Xenopus tropicalis: one gene and its partner. Each later gene encodes a partner of the first gene's protein in a complex. Links are inferred from orthologs where the notes say so. Each region holds a gene or a part of one and is shown on either strand. Other genes may lie near its edges.

Evidence for each region.
Region 2: the proteins of rab11fip1 (region 1) and rab14 are in contact, whole or in part, in a crystal structure (PDB 4D0G), measured with the Homo sapiens proteins. The link is inferred for Xenopus tropicalis from reciprocal best matches to the Homo sapiens genes RAB11FIP1 and RAB14. Residues at the interface, in NP_001002814.2 of Homo sapiens: Glu1252, Ile1255, Asp1256, Asn1257, Leu1259, Val1260, Met1263, Pro1267, Asn1268, Leu1270, Arg1271, Ile1272; in NP_057406.2 of Homo sapiens: Leu28, His29, Ile44, Gly45, Val46, Glu47, Phe48, Gly49, Trp65, Arg72, Arg74, Ala75, Val76, Ser79, Tyr80.

The regions. Positions count from the first base shown.
Region 1 is NC_030679.2:118,972,935-118,977,441, forward strand, and holds the start of rab11fip1 (rab11 family-interacting protein 1), read left to right. Parts: upstream 1-1,515; 5' UTR 1,516-1,746; coding exon 1,747-2,096; intron 2,097-4,507. UniProt on the Homo sapiens protein: A Rab11 effector protein involved in the endosomal recycling process. Also involved in controlling membrane trafficking along the phagocytic pathway and in phagocytosis. Interaction with RAB14 may function in the process of neurite formation.
Region 2 is NC_030684.2:9,741,618-9,745,937, forward strand, and holds the start of rab14 (ras-related protein Rab-14), read left to right. Parts: upstream 1-1,350; 5' UTR 1,351-1,523; intron 1,524-4,320.

The DNA of each region.
Region 1 (4,507 bases):
CCGGGGTGCAGATTGACTAAATATTACAAATTTACCAGCAAGTACATTGCTGTGATCAATTGTTTTGGGAATTTATGTAAAAACACATGTAACCCCTTTTCGGCTGTAATCAAGCCAACAGCACGGCTAGTGTAGATTTAGAGCATGGGGTACATACGACTCAATCCTTCAGGATGGGCCTTCGCTATATGGAAGTGACCAATTGAGCTACGGTGTAATGCAACTACAACTCACTGTAGCTGTGTGCAGTGCAGAAAAACAAATGGGTGCCAGAAGGTTCTTTGTGGTAAACCAAAGTGTAACTTGTTTATTGTCCAAGAAAATAATTCACAGGGTTATAGCAATACTCACACAGAGGAGATATCAGGCAATTGCACAGAAGGTAGAAAAATATGGTGTCCACCCGTATAGCCCACATCGGCCGAGGGTGGGGAAGGTAAGGACCACCAACCAGCACTACCTCCCTGTGGAGAGTAGCCTGGCCCAGTATCTGTATCCTCAGGGTGTCCCTTAGCAGCCAATGATCCCTCACAGCTAACTATGGATCAGAGATAGGAACTGAAATGGTACCTGCGTCTTAACTGTGGCCCTGCTCTAAGGCAACAATGCCTGTAGGGAAGAATACTTCCAGCTAATCTCTCCTGGTTGGAGCCGAAACTGCTCTTTCTAACTAATCTCACTATCTCACTCCTAGAAAGTGCTCTTTATAAATTATCCTGATACTCCCTACTCCTCATTCACAGGGTCCCTGTCCCCGACATCACTAGAGCTAGATGCAGCCTCTAGGGTAGAAGGCTTTACTGGGGCCCTGTTGATCCCAGGCTCAGTGTAACTTCCACCAGGGTCAGCAGATGCAGCCAAAGAGGAAGACCCACTCCCCTGCTAAGACTATATCAGAGTGCCAATAAGACACATATGCAAAACTATAAACTGATACATGGGTCTTTGCCCAGTAACAGCACAGACTAAAGGTGGCCACAAACGTGGCGATTTTCGATCTTTTGTGTGACCATTGGCCATTTCGTGCGATATCATCGGTTGCGTGTATGGCGAGCTGAAGGAAAGTTGTAGGGTTTAAAGCCATAGCGACATTAACCCTATGGGTCCCTACACAAATTTTCTTGGTACAGTATTTATAATCATATATAAGCAAAGTGCAGACTTATCAAAGTGTGAAATTACAGCTCACTCCTTCCTATGGGATTTTCAGACGCGTTACTTCCCCTCTGATAAAAACTCTTCTAAAAATCTCATAGGATTGAACAGAATTACTTTCGACAGTGAGCTCTAATATAAAATTATATTTTTACCAGTAGGTAAGTATTCCTATTTAAGAGACTGCAATATGTACCAACATATATTATCACCCAGCTCATAGGTACAAGCCAATACTTCGTGAGAACCTGGCCTGCGTTCCAAGACTCGTTTCTGTATTACACCTGTTTGTGGGCGGGTCCTGGTGCCAGAGGCGGCCCTAAAAATTATATAAAAAAAAAAAGTATGCAACTCAGCTTCGCTCCTATTGGTCACCGTGTGCCAAACAGTTTGACGGTGGAGCAAAAAGTTCCTAAGCAACGTTGGTAGGCGGCGGACTGCCTCTCACACTTACCCCTCCGCGAACGAGAGGCCGAGTCTCATGGGAGCACCGCCTACGTATTCACTAGTTTATATTTCGTCGGTACCGCCCCATTTCCTCATATAGTGAAGTAAAGTACTGCAGGTGAAGGCAGCGCACCGCCGGCAAAGATGTCTCTAGCTCAGCAGTCCCAGACCTGGTTCCCTACTCACGTCCAGGTAACCGTATTACAGGCTAAAGGCTTGAAGCCCAAAGGCAAAGCGGGCAGCAACGATGCGTACGCCATCATCCAGCTGGGCAAAGAGAAGTACTCCACCACTGTGGCCGAGAAGAGCCAGGCTCCCGTGTGGAAGGAGGAGGCCACCTTCGAAGTGCCCCTGTTACACAATGATAACCAGGAGCGCTGCACCGTGAGAGTTATAGTTATGCACCGAGCCCTGGTGGGGATGGACAAGTTCCTGGGGCAGTTGGAGCTCAACCTGTGGGAGTTGCACCAGAGCAGGAACAGGAGGAAAGTCCAGTAAGTATTGGCTTGTAGTGTTCAACTACTCTTCCCAGCAGCCCCTATCAAACCAACTGCTGTGATGTCCCCAACAGCCAATAAACAGGGGCCCCTATAGTTACATATCCATCAGAGTGCAGAATGCTCGTACAGATGATAAATCACTTGTCCCTGCACAGATGCACGTCTGTCTGTCTAAAGGCCCCCATACACGGGCCGACTATAGCTGCCGATATTGGTCCCTTGGACCGATTCGGCAGCTGATCGGCCCGTGTATGGGCAGAACAGAGCGGCCTGGCCGACCGATATCTGGCCTGAAATTGGCCAGATCTCGATCGGCCAGGTTAGAAAATCCAGTCTGATCGGGGACTGCATCGGCTCGTTGATGCGGTCCCCGAACCGATTGCCCCATAACCACAAATGTAATCCGATCGTTTGGCCCCAGGGCCAAATGATCGGATTATTTTTTTTTAAGTTACTTGCTACCTGATATCGCCCACCCGTAGGTGGGGTTATCGGGTGAAGAGGATCTTATAGTGTATGGGCACCTTAAGGGCGAAGACACACAGAGCTACTTAGTAGCAGCTACTTGTCACAGCTACCAAACACCAGAAAATCCCCTGCCATAGACAATACAGAGAATTGCCTCTGCTAAAACACACGTAGAGACAATTATCAGTAAATGATCAGCATTGTCTGTTTTAGTAGCCATGACAAGTAGCTGCTACTAGTAGATCTGTGTGTCTTCACCCTAATGGGTGCTGTGGGAACTTGGTACCCTTGTAACAAACTAGGTTTGTGAATAAAGTGATAGTGTGACTTTTGAAGTAAATTGTCTCAACAAGGGCTCTGGCACACGGGGAGACTAGTCGCCCGGGACTGTGTCTCGGGCGACTAATCTCCCCCAAATGCCATCCCACCGGGGATGTAAATCGCCGGTGGGATGGCATACGCGGTCGCAAGTTTCCTCTCGAAGCAACTTGCGTGATTTCATTGAAATCGTGCCGCCGCGCATGCCATCCCACCGGCGATTTACATTTTCGGTGGTGGGATGGCAATCCAGGGAGATTAGTCGCTGTGAACAGGGAGTTTTGTCGCGGGCGACTAATCTTCCCGTGTGCCAGAGCCCTAATAGTAGCAAAAAGTCCTTTTGATTGTGTCATCATTAAGGGTGAAGACACTCAGAGCTACTAGTAGCAGCTACTTGTCATGGCTACTGAAATAGACAATGCTGATTATTTACTGATAATTGTCTCTATGTGTGCTTTACAAAGGCAATTCTCAGTATTGTCTATGGCAGGGTATTTGCTGGAGTTTAGTAGAGATGAAAAAGATGCCATCCCACCGGCGAACATGTAAGTCGCCAGCGGGATGGCAGACACGGCGGCGCGATTTCGCGCAAATCGCCGAAAAAGACTCCTGAAATCGCCCCGCCGCGTCTGCCATCCTGCCGGCGACTTACATGTTCGCCGGTGGGATGGCAGGGGTAGGCAACTCGGGGAGATTAGTCGCCCGCAAACAGGGAGTTTTGCCGCGGGCGACTAATCTCCCCGTGTGCCAGAGCCCTAAAAGTCGTGAGGCTGAACCCTAAACAAGCGGAGATACTGCAGCTGTCATGGGACTAGATCAGTTAGACAGAATATTGCATCCCACTTAGTACAGTGTGTTTCCAGTGATTCTGTAATGTATTCACTAAGTCGTTGCTAAGCTTTCCAAAGCTGGCCGTACACAAGAAGATCTGCTTGTTTGGCGAGATTGCCAAAAAAGCTGATCTTTTCCCTGACAGCCTAGAACGATTGTTTGGCCATAGGGGAATACGAGTTATTGAAGTGATGGGAAATCGGTCGGGTAGGCCTGTCGGAGGGTCCAATACATGGGCAGAAAGACTTCTGAATTGGTCTGAAGGGCCTTAATCAGCAGCTTAAAGGTGGCCATACACGCTAAGATCCAGTCACTTGGCAAGGTTGCCAAGCGAGCGGATCTTCTCCCAATATCCCCACCTATGGGTGGGTGATAGCGGGCTAATTCGATTGTTTGGCCCTGGGGCCAAACGATCGAATTAGAATGACGGGTATAGGGGGTCAGTCGGTTCTGGGACTGCATCGAGCCGATGTGGTCCCTGATCCGACTGGCTGATTTCAGGCCAGATGTTGGTTGGGCAGGCCCGTCATTAGTGCCCATACACGGGTCGATAAGCTGCCGAATCGGTCTAAGGGACCAATATCGGCAGCTAGAATTGCCCCGTGTATGGCCATCTTAACTCTTTCTGTTTATGGCCACCTTTAGCCTACAAGCAATGCAATAGAATAGGAAATAGAAAGTTTTAGAAAGTAAATAGGGTTGATTCTGTTATAGTTTAGTGGAGCCTTATATAGGTCTTGGCATGCATACTTGTGCACCTCTCTATTTTTGGAATGCCTTTTGCGGGA
Region 2 (4,320 bases), on another chromosome or scaffold:
ATAGTGACTGTCTGTGGCACCTTACAGCCCCCCTGGCATTCCCAGTACCCAGAGGCACAAACAGCCCCCCCAGCCCAATAAATAGTGGCACCTTACAGCAGCCCCTCTGGCATTTGCCAGAACCCACAGATTGCCAGTCCGGGCCTGCCGGTACCTGGTTATGAGCCCTGTATAAAGACTGTTCCAATGAGTAGGGGCTAGAACCAAAAAGATGTCTAGCAACTACTTCCCTATACCCCCCTTAGCCCTAAGCGTAAGAACCCATGGAGTGGTTGAGTCGCCCGCGATAGATCTCTACAAAAGGTTTCCCATCAGCAACAATAGAAGTCACCGGTGTAAAGCCCTTCACATCGATTCGGTAATCCGAAGCCGCGGGTGACTTAACCGCTCCGTGGGTTCTTACCCTAACACTGCAATTTTTGGTACCGTTAGTCAAGTACAAATTGGCGGAGCTATTTCACGTTACCACGTTAGTCTATATGAAATGAAGGCCAGCTGTGGTTGGCCAATTTTATCGGTAAGGTTCTGCAGCCAGTGGTGTAACTCGATGTTACTGGGCCCCAAAACATTGGTAAATTGACCTTTTCACCAAGTTATATAAAAATTGCTCATTATTAGGGCTTTACGGGGTCCTCTGCACTCCTGGGCCCCCCTGCAACCGCAGGGTCTGCTTCTTCCATAGTTACGCCCCTGTCTGCAGCAGCCATGGTGGGTTTTTTTTACCACAGAATGTTAGGATGAGCATCAATCCCAGAATTCCCTGGGCTGACTTGGGTCTGTAATGAGGAGCAAAAGGGCTTGTACTGGATTCCCAAGAGGTTCTGAAGCAGTTAATAGAGTACTGTAGGTTCTAACCACAGAATACTACAGCAAGAGGTTGCATTAGTTTCCTCCACAAAAGAAGTGCAAGCTCTTGGACGTGTTGTGAGGCAACATGGCAGGCCTTGTGTCTGTACAGAGTAAGTCTTGCAAGGGCACCTTTATTACCACACAATATTAGGATAACATAACTCTCTAATCTAAAAGTGTATATAAAGCAATGGGACCTGTTTATGTACAAGATGGGACATATTTTTACCACAGAAAAGCAAACTATGCGCCCTGACACCATTTCAGGCGCTGTGACGTTTCCAGTAACTAAGGCAGGCGCGCCCCCGCCGCTTCCCCACGTCACCATTTCTCCGCAACACGTGACCCCACCCCGCCCCGTACCCCTGCGTGAAATGAAGCGCGCTCCCGGGCGCGCCCCCCGCCCCGCTGGCCCCACCCCTCTGTCTCTTCCCGTCGGCCCGTGACGGCTGTTCCGGGAAACCCCGTGCAATCGCCGCCGCCATCTTGGAGTGAGGGGAAGAAACCCCGAGCAGCCAGGGTAACCGCACTGAGAAGGAAGGGGGGAGCCAGAGAGCGGCTTCCGGAGGGTGACAGGAATACTCACACACACAGGGAGCCGGCAGCACGGAAGGGAGGGGCTGTCACACCGAACCCGCCCAGGCTCCGCACCGTCCGACACCGCTCCCACTCAGGTAAGCCTCCGGGGGAACCGGCACCTTTATCCGCCCATACCCGGGCCCTCACCTTTATCCGCCCATACCCGGGCCCTCACCTTTATCCGCCCATACCCGGGCCCTCACCTTTATCCGCCCATACCCGGGCCCTCACCTTTATCCGCCCATACCCGGGCCCTCACCTTTATCCGCCCATACCCGGGCCCTCACCTTTATCCGCCCATACCCGGGCCCTCACCTTTATCCGCCCATACCCGGGCCCTCACCTTTATCCGCCCATACCCGGGCCCTCACCTTTATCCGCCCATACCCGGGCCCTCACCTTTATCCGCCCATACCCGGGCCCTCACCTTTATCCGCCCATACCCGGGCCCTCACTCACCCCCTGGGCTGTGTTTCCCTGACACCCCGGCTGCACCCCCCCCCCCCCATTGCTCCTTTCTGCCCCTTGTCATCCCTACAGCCTGTGTCTGTCTGCGCCTGTCAGTGCCCCCCTGCCTGGCTGTAACTGCCCCTGCCTGGCTGTAACTGCCCCTGCCTGGCTGTAACTGCCCCTGCCTGGCTGTAACTGCCCCTGCCTGGCTGTAACTGCCCCTGCCTGCGTCCCACTGCACTCTCCATCTCTCATTGCACCAGTCTGTTTGTAATTGCCCCAGTGTGCCCTTACTTGCCCCATTCTATTCACATTTGCCTCTGCCATCATCCTGGTCTTGGTCTTAATACCCCTACCATCACCCTATTGCCCCTGCCTGCACACATCTACCCCTTGCCCTCCTCTGCCATCTCCCCACTGAACCCATCCCTCTGCACCCCCCCATCCCTCTGCACCCCCCCATCCCTCTGCACCCCCCCATCCCTCTGCACCCCCCCATCCCTCTGCACCCCCCCATCCCTCTGAACCCCCCCATCCCTCTGCACCATTAGTTACTCTTCCTCCTATCATTGTATCCTAGGCACAGTACTGCCCCTGCCTACTCACCCCATATAACCCTCTGCCCCCCTACTGCCCCTGCCTACTCACCCCATATAACCCTCTGCCCCCCTACTGCCCCTGCCGCAACCCACCTTATCCTCTGCCCCCCTACTGCCCCTGCCTCACCCCACATAACCCTCTGCACCCCTGTTGCCCCATCTCACCCCTTATTATCCTCTGCCCCCCTACTGCCCCTGCCTCACCCCATCTTATCCTCTGCCCCTGCTGGTAGTACTCAGTGCAGCCAGGTACCCCTGCTCCCCCCCAGAGCAGTGTCCCCTTGCAGCTCAGCACCCCGCCATTCCAGTTTACACCCCTGGGATCCCTCATTATCCACTTGCAGTATCATCTCTCTGTGTGCCCCCTACTACCCCTTTTGTCTCCCTTCTGCCCCCCCATGGGGCCATTTGTCCCATGCTGCAGTACAGCCGGGCCCTGCCGCCTCATTGTGCCAGAGCTTGGGGCAGGTGATGCCCATACACGCGGGCAGGGAGGGGTTTGTTGCCATTGCCTCGCTGGCCCAGTTCTTGGGATCCCTGCACTGCACAGCTATTGTGTAAGCAAGGCCTCCTCGGTACATCCCCCCCCCCTCCCTCCCGTAGCCATTCCACCCTCCGTATCATCGCTCCCCCATTCTCTGGGGGTGATTCAGCCTTACTCCCCCTGTATGTAGGTCCTGCAGCCCCCCTCCCTTCCCCCGAATATCCCCTTGTGATTGGGTGCAGGCCGGGCCCCATGCAGGCTGTATCTGTATATAGCAGTCTGTGTCAGTGCTAGCCCTATTGTACACGCCGCAGGATTACAGGAGCCCTGGGGATCTCGGAGAGAGGGGTTGGCAGATTCCGGAAGAACCAGATCCCGTGACCCTTCTCTTGTTTATTCTCCCAGTGCTAGCCGGCTAGTGTCAGGCCTGGTCGGGCTTTGGCCTCTCGTCTGTCACCGGCCTTATTTATCTACTGTGTTATTTTCCAGCCATTGTCCTGCCTCTGATATTAACCCTTTGTGCCCCCGCAGGTTTAACCCTTTATAGCAGCCTTTGTAGTCCCTTTGTTGTTGTGCAGATGAATGTGATGCTTTAGGGATTCCCTGCAAAGCACCCTCGGCAGTTGTTTGTGTCAGAAGCAGAATATTTGTCTCCGATTCACCTCACGTCATTGGCAATGTTACCGATTTGGAATAATAATACACATAAATCTGTTTATAAGGGATGCTTGCTCTAATGAGCTTACCTTATCCTCAAAGGCATTAAAAACAGTGACCTCTGGTGGACAGATTTGCATGAAAACTCTGCTTTTATTGAGCAAAAACCTTTGGGCAAAGCATCTTTTGGTCCCTGGGGTACCACTGGGGCATTTCGGAACCATGTAAACCCATAGGTACTAGTAATTACCATTGGGTTGTTCTGGTCTTGATGGGTTGCATAGGGGCCTTCAGTGTTAGATTTGTTGGGCGGGAGGTTACGAGAGAGTGTCGTGGCAGATCTATCTGTTAAAGTTACATTTAAAGGGGAAGTCTGACTTTCAGTCACTTTTTCTGGTTGTTTACATGCACTATAGTGTTCCCACTGATACATTAACACCTGCCTTTCCTCTAATGTTGCTGAGAAACGTAACTACTTTATTTAGGAAATTGGAACAGATCGGAGGGTCTGCCTCCTGACGTAAACGGCTACGAGGAAGCGCCGGAGGGATGAAACGAAAGCTAAATTGCTTTTAAATTGGATACATTGTAAACAATAATAATAGAAACAAACTGAGATATGTCACTGTTTCTACAGTTCTGCTAGAATGGGAAGTACCTTAATTTGCTTATAGGTATATGGTTATAGATATTTTTGTGCAA